Linked DNA regions of Caenorhabditis elegans. The protein of the gene in region 3 interacts with the protein of the main gene of each other region in a pairwise test. Each region holds a gene or a part of one and is shown on either strand. Other genes may lie near its edges.

What was found.
Region 1: the proteins of kin-10 (region 3) and lim-7 interact in a two-hybrid assay, tested with the Caenorhabditis elegans proteins (one large-scale study listed by BioGRID).
Region 2: the proteins of kin-10 (region 3) and ceh-51 interact in a two-hybrid assay, tested with the Caenorhabditis elegans proteins (one large-scale study listed by BioGRID).

What each region holds. Positions count from the first base shown.
Region 1 is NC_003279.8:5,714,545-5,718,299, forward strand, and holds the start of lim-7 (LIM/homeobox protein lim-7), read left to right. Parts: upstream 1-2,029; 5' UTR 2,030-2,131; coding exon 2,132-2,267; intron 2,268-3,755. UniProt on the Caenorhabditis elegans protein: Probable DNA-binding transcriptional activator.
Region 2 is NC_003283.11:18,872,412-18,876,166, reverse strand, and holds ceh-51 (Homeobox protein ceh-51), read right to left. Parts: upstream 2,035-3,755; coding exon 1,781-2,034; intron 711-1,780; coding exon 260-710; 3' UTR 185-259; downstream 1-184. Other genes in the region: emb-4 (Intron-binding protein aquarius), read left to right, coding at 3,201-3,541. UniProt on the Caenorhabditis elegans protein: Required for mesoderm development, including specification of muscle and coelomocyte precursors.
Region 3 is NC_003279.8:8,289,013-8,292,767, reverse strand, and holds the start of kin-10 (Casein kinase II subunit beta), read left to right. Parts: upstream 1-1,762; 5' UTR 1,763-1,850; intron 1,851-1,899; 5' UTR 1,900-1,953; coding exon 1,954-1,971; intron 1,972-2,128; coding exon 2,129-2,285; intron 2,286-2,335; coding exon 2,336-2,527; intron 2,528-2,694; coding exon 2,695-2,884; intron 2,885-3,416; coding exon 3,417-3,567; 3' UTR 3,568-3,755. Other genes in the region: npp-2 (Nuclear pore complex protein Nup85), read left to right, coding at 1-185, 410-543, 611-1,241, 1,291-1,362. UniProt on the Caenorhabditis elegans protein: Participates in Wnt signaling. Plays a complex role in regulating the basal catalytic activity of the alpha subunit.

The DNA.
Region 1 (3,755 bases), 2.6 Mb from region 3:
GACATTAAGTTTTTTTTACCATTTTAAATGCATTTTGACAAAATCGTCACAGGCGCTACTAAACCTTTAATTAAGATCAACTCCCTATCCATCGAGAAAACTCGAAAACCTTCTCGAGTCTGCCACGTGTCTTCTAATTCCTACCCGATGTGCTCACTTCCTGTCGGGACCTTTTGAGTTGTAAAATAGTGAGAGAGAAGATGACCACGCGTAGAATCAATATTTAGGTGAGACTGTGCGTGATCTGAACAGGAAATCATTGACTTTTGGAGAATAACGTTTTTTTCTTCAATATGCATATATCTTTTTTGTAAGTCATAGTTATCGGTTTTCTCTTTTTTTTTTAGCGAAAATTGATTTCTAGCTTTTCTCGAAGTGTTCAAAAAACTGCAAAACTTACTTTCGTACAAAATGTAGAAATTTTCGAGATTAAAAAATTTAAATTACAAAATTTTGTATTTCGGTCTTTCTATTTCTTCGTGTTTTGGAAAAATATTTTTTTAAATGGAATACGATAAACTATGAAATATAACTTGTAAAGTTTGTTTTCTCTTACACCACAATAGTTGAAAAATGGCTGTAAATTTTTCACATTTCTCCCCGGTTCTAAAAATTTTCCAATATTCTGGATTAATCCAGCATCCATTTAATCATCTTATCTTTCAAATCCTTATCAATCGATGGAATCTACAGTATCCTCGAATACTTGTCCGTTATCACCTTCTCTCGCATGCATGTTCATCTTTTCATTCGTTATTTCACACCTTTTGAGGTATACAGGAAGTGGGGGAATCAGTTAAAACATACATATGTCCACGTGTCGGCTAATTTAAGAGTGCAACTCTATAGAAACTGCAAATTCACTTTTCGTACAATTTTTTTGACTAAAAGAATGAAGAGTTTGCAATACTAACGAAGAAGTGCAATACTATTAGGGACGCAAGACTAATTGGGACTTCAAGTCTATATTTCAATCGATATGAACTCTAAGAGAGACTCAAAAATAAAATAAAATAAAACATATTTCTAGTTTCTAGATAGTTTTCAATAAGGAAAATATGGCGTCCACCAGCCAAAGGAAGAATGAGGGTCAGGTTGAATCCGGATAAGAAGATATTTCCAGGGATAATCTTGTTGAATTCTCATGTTTTCTGATTTCAATTTTTTTTCTCAATTTTTTAAAATATTCATCAATGAACATAATACTTTAAACCTCTGAGAGAACCAGTCAGTTTCTGATTTAAATATCAGAAAAATGATTGTGTTAAAGATCGAAGCAAACATACCACATTTTTTCAGTATTGCAGCCATTTTTTGGAAAAGTTACATGAATAATTTATAGACTCTGAAGATGTTCTACACTTTGTGAGTTTATTGTCTTAAACTGTAGTACGCGGAGATATTAGTATGGAAGCTAAAGGAAACTAGAAAAACATTTGAAAATGTACGAGAAAATTTGACTAAAATATAGGATGGATTTTGAACTCTAAAATCTAGGGTTATGAAATTTAAACGTCCTAAGCGATTTGTAATTTAATTTTGAAACTTTAATTGTGAAACTAAAGTGAGGTCAAATTTCTCACATTACTTTCCTTAATTCTTAATTTTTTCAGGAGCAGACAATTTTGTTCAAAAATTTCGAAATTTTCTAAATGTTTAAATATAATTTTTTGCTCATTACTTCAATCTTGATGAGTAATTTCATAGAATATATTTTGCCAGTAACATTTAACTGTCTCAAAAATTTTTTTGGCATTTGAAATGTCATTTTTTAAACTTTTTCATGATCCAAATAGTTCACACAAAACTGCTTTAATCCAATTAATTACAAATAAAAGAAATATAGGTTACCATATCCACAAAATCAGGATGTTCACACTCTTATTCTATCACTTGGGTGTTCACATCCGGCTGGTTTTCTTCTCACTTCTTTCGTTCTCCTCACTTAGTAGGTGGAGTCTACCAACCAGTCGCTCGTCGTCCGCCCGCTCAATGACTCCGCCCACTTTCTTGTCTCTCCGTGGGTCCCAGGGCTCTCGGTTCTCTTTTCGTTTGTGACACTTCCAACTGTCCTATCTGTGTTTGTGTGTATCTAGTAATCAATCACAAACTTCTATATCTGTTCAACGGCATGAACATCTGTATGCGAAATGGTTATGAGCAATTCTCACTGACATCTCCAGGAACATCGGATCTCGAAATTGGTGGATCATTTTGGAAAGACGAACCGGATACCAAGTACTTGTGCCTTGATTCTCCTGTTGAACGTGAGTGTTTTTTTTTTAATTTGAAAATGTTAAGCGTGGGCCAAAATATTTCAAAGAATTTACATCCGGAAAAAATTTTTTTGTAAATTTTCTGAAAATCACAGCTTAAAAAATTCAAAACAAAAGTTAAGTTAGATTCATAAAATTTCCATTTGAAAAGACATCTAACAGATCTAAGAATACAACACCTTCTCTCAAACTCCACTTAATCTTGAAAAATAAATCTTAAAATGTCAAAATCCCTGCAATAACAAAATCGAAAGAAGGAGAGGGAGAAAATCTGGAAAAAAAGATTATTCGCACTTCTAAGCCTTAAATATCCGTCTATTTTCCCCTGAATTTTGCAACTTTTTTATCTGAAGCTCTGGTGCTCTTCCGATTCTTTTCCCATACTACTTATAGGGATGAGCCAATGAATAAATGAGCAAAGTTCCGAAAGGTGTCTGAACTTAATGGGCTCACTTCCAAAAAATTTTGAAGTCATATAACATTACTAAATTTCTTGGTAGAAAAAACCCATTTGAGCTACACATTTTTCCATGACACCTTGCTTATTCACCAGTTTGGCAAACAAAAGAATCGGGGGGTCTCACACAAAAATATATTTTGTTGATTAAACGATATGATGGGGGTGGGGAACAAATGGGAGGCTCCATCAAAAAGCTCTTAGTTCAATCAAGTTCTGAAAGTTTAAAAGAAAACAAAAATCGCTATTTCTTTCATTCCATTTGTCCCCCTCCTCTTTTACTTTTTTCTTTTCCACCTTCTTCTTGTTGTCTTAAAAACGCATAACTTCATCTGGTCCTTCGATGAAGATCTAAGCTATAATCGCCTTATGCACATCACATGTACATATCCGGTTTGAAGATTTCAACAACCCAACCAGATTTTCTCGATTTTCTTGGCCTCGAAAACTTAACCTAGAAAGTTTTCAAATAAATATATGATATTAATAAAAATTAACTTTTCACAGTTTTGTATTCCGAAAGTTTTTAAAACCTAATTTTCTTCAAAAAAAGTTTTTCTCTAGGTCAATTTTCAATTCTAATTTCAAATCGCAACACTCTCCTCCCAAATAAGTAGTTATTTGCCGCCGCTCCGATTATGATTACTGTAGTGGTGGGGTGTTTATAATTGCTTATATTAAGTAAACTTTCCTTCTTTTTTTGGGATTGTTACTTCTTGTTTGTCAACGGCCAGTTTACTTCCTAAAATAAGATGTCAAATGTTGAACAAGGGGATTATCAATAGTTTGAAATGACTACCTTTAGTTGTTATAGTTTTAAAATTAGAACATTTTAATATGTTATTTTTTAAACAGTAGGAAGCTGTCGACTTTAAATTCTTCCGAATAAAAACGGAGCTCAATAAAATTAATGACGTGGCAAAACAGTGCTGACAGAAGAGGGCAAAAATAAAATAAAAAACGTTTTGGCAGCTACTAACATCCCCAAACACCCCACAAATGAGCTATTTTATGAGTTTTGT
Region 2 (3,755 bases), on a different chromosome or scaffold from region 3:
ATGAAATTCTGTGTTTTCAGACAATTTTGAGTCTAATGAAGCAATAAAAAAAATCGACTACACCGCCTATAATACACATGCTCGGAGAGTTGTAAATTTGAGACAAAAATTTTGAAGTTGTGGAATTTCTACTAATTTTGATGTTCTAAAAGGTTCAAAAACACTGAAAATTCAAATTTCGCGGTTTTTTTTCTTCAATTCAATCGAACATCGTTTATTGGGGGCACACAATAATACAAGTGACAAAAAGCTACACAAATCAAGAAATAACATGCTTCTGGTCCTCCTCCGCCTCCTCCTTCGCCGATTTCTGTTGCTGCACAGCGTCCTGCTTGATCTGCTTGTATTTCTCCTTTCTCAACTTGAATCTCCGATTCTGAAACCAAATCTTGATCTGCTCGGGCGAAAGTCCGATGACTGCTCCCAACTTCCGTCGCTCGTCAACCTTTATTGTGTCGCACTGCTCAAATCTGGTTCTCAACGCGTAAAGCTGAGAATCGGAGAACGGAGTTCGAGCGCCTCTCCGCTTTTCTGAAGGAGCTCTTGGATGCTGCTGATGCTGATGATGTAGAAAAGACGGCGGTGGTGGGATGAAGCCAGCGTGATGAGCCACCATAGGATGAGGAAACGAGGATGGGGAGAGTTGTGAGTACTGCTGCTGGAACCAGGCGAAGCATTGAGCTTGGTAGGCTTGAGCATGGGCTTGAACTCTGTAAAAAAAAAGGAATTTTCGGAAGAAAAGCGATCACGGAGATGAATTTTGTTGCAAATAAGCAGTGATCAAATTTTCCAAATAGGGATTTTTGCCGCTGTAAATTTAACATGCCAAAAAGAAGCTACCAAATTTGCCCAATTTGTGGCAATTGGACTTCTTGGAGCTGTTAATTTCAAAAAAAGCAGCTACCAAAATTGCCTAAATTTGGAATTTTGGCCACTGCTAATTGCGAAGAAGAAGCTTCGAAAATTGTTCAAAATTGAAATTTTTGAAAACAGTTAATTGCAAAAAAAGTAGCAAACAAAATTTCCTGAATTGGATTGTTAAGAGCTCTTAATTGCATAGAAGCAGCTACGAAAATAGTTCAGAATGGACTTTTCGACACTGCTAATTGCAGGAAAACAGCTACCAAAATTGCATAAATTTGGAATTTTTGGAGCTTTTAATTGCAAAAAAGCAGCTACCGAAATAGTTCAAATTGGAATTTTCGACATTGCTAGTTGCAATAAATCTACCAAATTTGCCCAATTTGTGCAAATTGGACTTCTTGGAGCTGTTAATTGCAAAAAAAGCAGCTGCTACCAAAATTGCCTAAATTTGGAATTTTGGCCACTGTTAATTGCAAAAAAGCAGCTACCAAATTTGCCCAATTTGTGCAAATTGGACTTTTCGACACTGTTAATTGCAAAATTGCAGCTACCAAAATAGTTCAAATTGGAATTTTTAGAGCTGTTAATTGCAACAAAGCAGCTAACAAAGTTTTTTTTTGCTAAAAATGCCCGTTCGCGGCCATATAGTGTGAAAAAGCTATATTTTGAGTAATTTCCCACTGTCAAAACTTATGGGGTTATTCAAGAAATGTTACTTGCAAAATGTATTTAAATACATGTTTTTAAATGTATTTTAATACAGTTGTGACGTAATTTTTCTACACTTTTTAATTTTCCGACGCTAATTGAATAACCCCATTAAAATTAGCGGTTCTTCACGCATTTCGGTAGAAAAACGTAGTGAAAATCACTCTAAAACGCCCGTTTTGTACTGAAAAGTATCGAAAAAACTTACAACATATCATTCCCATTATGAGCCAGCTGTTGTTGATAGTAAAGCTGATTGGGATCCGCCACGTAGCACGGTGATGGAGCCTGATAGGCCGCCGGATAGGCTGGCGATGAGCTCATTGAGCCCGGAGAGCTGCTTGGCATTGTGGAATATTCCATTACAGTAGCATTAGTAATAGCAGAAGTTGAATTAAGATTCGAAGAAGACAAAGGATAATAGTCACCGCCGTTATTAATATTATAGTTGGATGATGACATTTTGTGTGGAATGAATTGGGGGAATTATAGTGGCTATTCTCCAGCTGGGGAGGCTGTAAATCTAGGCGGAGCATTGCTGCCTAGGTAGGCGGGGAGGCGAGAAGGTGCGATTTTGTTTGGCGGGAGACATGACCGGGAAAAGGTGACACCGGAGAGGTGAGATACCTGGGAATTGGGTGAGATTTTCCGGCTGTTCTTCAGAATTGTCTGAAAATCTGGAAAAATGTGAAGTTTTTCCACGGAAAAGCGAATTTTCGATTGATTCTTGTAGTTTTTCGTACAAATCGGACAATGCCAAAATTTGGCAGTTTTGGTACTTTGTGTTGGATTACGGTAGAAATTTTGGTCTGAAAAGCTTATTTTTAAGCCAATTTCAGTCAAAAACTGCAGTTCCGGCAATTCGGCAAAAACTTGCCGGAATTAAAAATTTCCGGCAAATTTGCAAGTTGCCGGAATTGAAAATTTCTGGCAAATCGACAAATTGCTGGAATTTGAAATTTCCTGCAAACCGGCGGAATTAAAAATTTCTGGCAAATCGGCAAACTGGCAAACTGCCGGAATTGAAAATTTCTGGCAAAATGGGCGATTTGCCGGAATTGAAAATTTCCGGCAAATCGGCAAATTGGCGGAATTGAAAATTTCCGGCAAATTGTCGGAACTGAAAATTTCTGGCAAAATGGGCAATTTGCCGGAATTGAAAATTTCCTGCAAACCGGCAAAAATTTGCCGGAATTTAAAATTTCTGGCAAATTGCCGGAACTGAAAATTTCCTTCAAACCGGCACATTGCCGGAATTGAACATTTCCGGCAAACGGGTAAAAACTTGCCGGAATTCGCCGAATTTTCCGAACAACAATTGCCCGCCTACTTAAAACTTTTAAAAAAGCAAAAAAGAAAAAAACAACTGACATAAAAATTATCTGATCAATAAGATATTGGAAAAAATGTTGAAAATTGCAAAAAAATATATCGAATCTAGGCATATAGTGCTCCCTAAACTACAACCTACAACAAATTTCAAATAAAATATACAAAATTTTGCAAAAAAAAGAAAAAATATAATTAAAATTCAAATTTCGAAATGTTAAATTTGAAAATTTTAGAGTTTTTCGACGAAATTACAACAAAAACACTCTGAAAATTATAAAAATCCTGGATTTTTTCAGGTGAAAGAGGCAAAAATCATCGCAATGACTTGTACACACGCGGCTCTCCGTCGAAATGAGCTCGTGAAGCTCGGCTTCCGCTACGATAATATCGTAATGGAAGAAGCCGCTCAAATTCTTGAAGTTGAAACATTTATCCCATTGTTACTACAAAATCCACAAGACGGACACAATCGACTGAAACGATGGATTATGATTGGAGATCATCATCAGCTGCCGCCAGTTGTACAGAATCAGGCATTCCAGAAATATTCGAATATGGAACAATCGTTATTTGCGAGATTAGTCAGGCTTAGTGTACCAAATGTGCAGTTGGATCGACAGGGAAGAGCCAGGGCTCAGTGCGTGTTTTTTTTTGGGGAATTCTTGAGAAATTCTACGTGAAAATTAAGAATTTTACGGTTGAATTTACCGAAAAACGATTTTTCGTGCGAAATTGGCAAATTTTCATATGAAAATTGCAACTTTTCACAAGAAAAATTTGGCATTTGAGCTCAATTTGCTGAAATTCAGATTTTTTTCGGAAAATTGGCGAATTTCTAAGTGAAAATTGAG
Region 3 (3,755 bases):
ACACGTGGTGGCATTTTCTGCCATTCTTTGTGCTTGTCAAGAATCCATTCGCCGGACATGTCGAGCTCATTGAGCTAGCTGATGAGTGTAGAACACTATTCGTTGGAGAAGAGGAAGAGGAGGGTGCAAAGGAAAATGATGTATTCTGGTGTCTTATTTCGAAGGATGATATTAACTTTCAACAGGTTCTTGTTTTTATTCAAGAAATTAAATTAAATATAAATATCTCTTGAAAATAGGCTCACTATTTCTTTCACGATTAATTAAACGGCGACAGAACATTTCATTCAATTTTATCCCAATAAAAAAAAATCAAAATAATGTTCAAGAATATTTAACAATTTTCTTCAAAATAAATTCTAGATTGTTTTAAATAAGAATTAATTAATTTTACTGAATAAAATTTCAGTTGATTGCCTCGAATCCCTGGCTCGCAGTTCACCTGGTTGATCTTATTCACAAATCCACATTGGATCCCGAGTTTGAAGTGATGAGGAAAATGCACATGTTGGACTACGCCAGTGTTCTTATCTCTCATTCTCCGTTAGTTTTTGAAATTTCTAATTACTGAAAAAACATTTTAAAATATAACTTCACAAATTTTTTATAGTCTGTGGGAAATCGGAGCCGGATATCTTATTGCGTGTGGTACCGAAGGACTTCTACGTCTCGAAACACACATCGAAGGGCTTCACATTGAGGATGATGAGATGGCTGAGCAGTTGCTGGAAATATGTGAAGAGCATCGACTGGAAGACGCGAAAAGTTGTGTGACAAATACAATGACTTTCCGGTATCTGAAGCAAGGACATTGGAGTTCAACACTCGCTTGGGCGTTGAAAACTGGATCCAAAAAGACAATTGACTGGACAGTATCTCGAATTGTTGGTTCAAGTTCGAAGGATGAATTGGCTGCATTAAGAGTTTTATCTTCAATAACCAATCATTCTGTACTCTCACTTCCATCTCTTACCTTCCTCTACTCTTATCAACGATTTGTGAAGATGATGCACTGTGGTGATGTACTGGACTGTGTTCAACATCTGATACCGCTTATTATGATGCCTGATGTTCCAACTCAGTATTACTATGATCTCTTCGATTATTTAATCACGATTATCAAAGAGGATGGGCGTGCTGGAATCCGATTTTCCAAGGAGATTCTCTATGAGCTCTCAACCTTTTTGTCAACGTTTACGCTTGATAAACATCGAGATTTGAATGATAATTATATGAAAAAGGTAAGTTTTATAGACATTTTTATGATCATATAATTATAAATTGTTACAGGTGAAAGTGCTCAAAAAGATGGTAATGCTCAAGTTGACAGACTCGATTGCGAAAGGAATTGCGTGCTCTTGAATAATTTATGAATTAATTTTATTTTATTTACATTTGCCGATGTTCTTTTTTGTTCTGGGATCTCAGAAAATTTAATTTTTTGTATGTGAATAAGGATCACATCTCTTAATTTTTTTACTATTACTTGGTTTTCCACACAAACTCGTTGAATTTCGAGGCCAACCTACCTTCTTTTCGAGTTTTCCCCAGAGATCGATAGTGACCTATGTGCTATGCAACCGTGCCCCATTGCACGTCCACAAGGCCTCGTCAGCTCCCTCGTCCTCTTTTTTCTGTTTCGACAGAAAACTGCTGGAGTTTATGAATTTATGTGGGCGCACATGACTGTGATCTATTGATTTTCTTCTGCTTTTTTCAATAATTCTGAACCATTTCACCCAACCTGTACCCATAATTTCAGGCAGTTGTGTGCTTTGCGCGCAACTCGGCCAGTCATCGACGTGAACGCCACGGCTTCTGCTCGCTGGCGCCAACTCGATTCCACTTCGGTGAGTTATCATTAAAATATTATCAAAAAAAAATTTCTTTTGATTACAGGCAGAGTCTGGTTCGCAGTCAGAACAAAGCGCTAGTTTGTCTGGATCAGAAGTCATGAGTAGTTCGGAGGAGGTTTGTATTATATTTCTATTTTCTGCGGAAAACAATCAGAAAAATCTAAATAGCCGTTTTTTTTAATGATTTATATTTTAAACTATGAATTTAATAACAAGTTTTATGGTCGATTGGTGAAATTTATTTTTAGTTTCGAATCTTTTTTTTTGTTCAGGTATCATGGATCACATGGTTCTGTGGCCTTCGTGGAAATGAGTTTTTCTGTGAAGTCGACGAGGAATATATTCAGGATCGGTTCAATTTGACAGGTCTCAATGAGCAAGTGCCCAAGTATCGACAGGCTCTTGACATGATTCTTGACTTAGAACCAGGTGATATTTTTGCTGACTTCATGTGCCCCCGCAATGTAACCTTTTTCTAGAAGATGACATAGAGGATAACGCAACGAACACTGATCTTGTTGAACAAGCCGCTGAAATGCTTTATGGACTCATTCACGCTAGATATATTCTTACGAATAGAGGAATCTCACAGATGGTCGAAAAGTGGCGTGATCATGACTTTGGAGTTTGCCCACGTGTCTACTGTGAAAATCAGCCAATGCTTCCAATTGGTGAGTTATAAAAAAATCGCTACTTCATTGGTTGCGGATAATTTTTTTTGAGAAAAGTGAAACTATAAAGTACTAAATTTTCCTAATTTAAAAGTGCATTTCCAATAAAATTTAAAACAAATATTTGTTTTTACACTAAAATTTCTGTAAAATTCCAATTTTTCCAGGATTGTCTGATGTTCCTGGCGAGGCTATGGTGAAATTGTACTGTCCACGTTGCAATGATGTTTTCGTTCCACGATCATCACGTCATCAACATACTGATGGAAGCTATTTTGGCACCGGATTCCCACATATGCTCTTCTTTGTTCATCCTGATCTGCGTCCACGCAGACCAGTCACTCAATTCGTTCCAAAGTATGTCAGAGGATATATATTAAGCTAAATATTTGAAAATCCGAAATTCTAATTTAAAAAATCTTTAAAATCTCGGCAATCGAGTAAATCTTTTCATTTCAGTATACCAATTAAACTTTTTGAATAAAAAATGAAGTAAAATATTTGCTTGATTCGAAAACACAACTTAATAATGTTGGAAAATTCAAAACGACTAGTGTCTGAAGGTTATTTTTTCGGCATTCGGCAACTTTCAGGCTCTATTTGAGATCTTTTTTCAAATATTTCAACAAGAATAAGTTGCAATTTCGAATCAATAAAATATTTTGACACATTTCTAAAATCATTTTTAATTCAAAAAGTTGACTTGGTAGACTGAAATTAGAAGATTTACTCTATTGCCGAAATAAGTTGGCTGTACTAAATTAGATTCGAAATAATTTTAGAAATTAGAAGATCAAACAATAATATTTTATCCACTTTAAAAATTTAGCAGAACTTAGTACAATAATAATTATGTTATGTGTAAATTTTTAAATATCAAAATTTTCAGACTCTACGGTTTCAAAATTCATCCTGTTGCTTATGGAGGACAGGAGGGAAACAGCGGCGGAAATACGGCGAATAACGTTGCCGCAGCACAAAACAACACGACTCCAGCCGGGCAACAATCTGGAGGACAATTCAATAATTATGGTCTCTGAGCCACTTTCTTCCTTATTTTTGTTTTGATTTCTTCTTTCCAGTTTCCATTCAGAATGTCCCCCCTCTCAACACAACATCCTTATTTTCTTCATTGTTTCGTTTTTTCTTCTCCCCAAAATTTTCTTTTCCGACAAAACTCAAGAATCCGGCGGTTCTTCCATGCGTGTTTCTCTTCTTTTCTAAATCT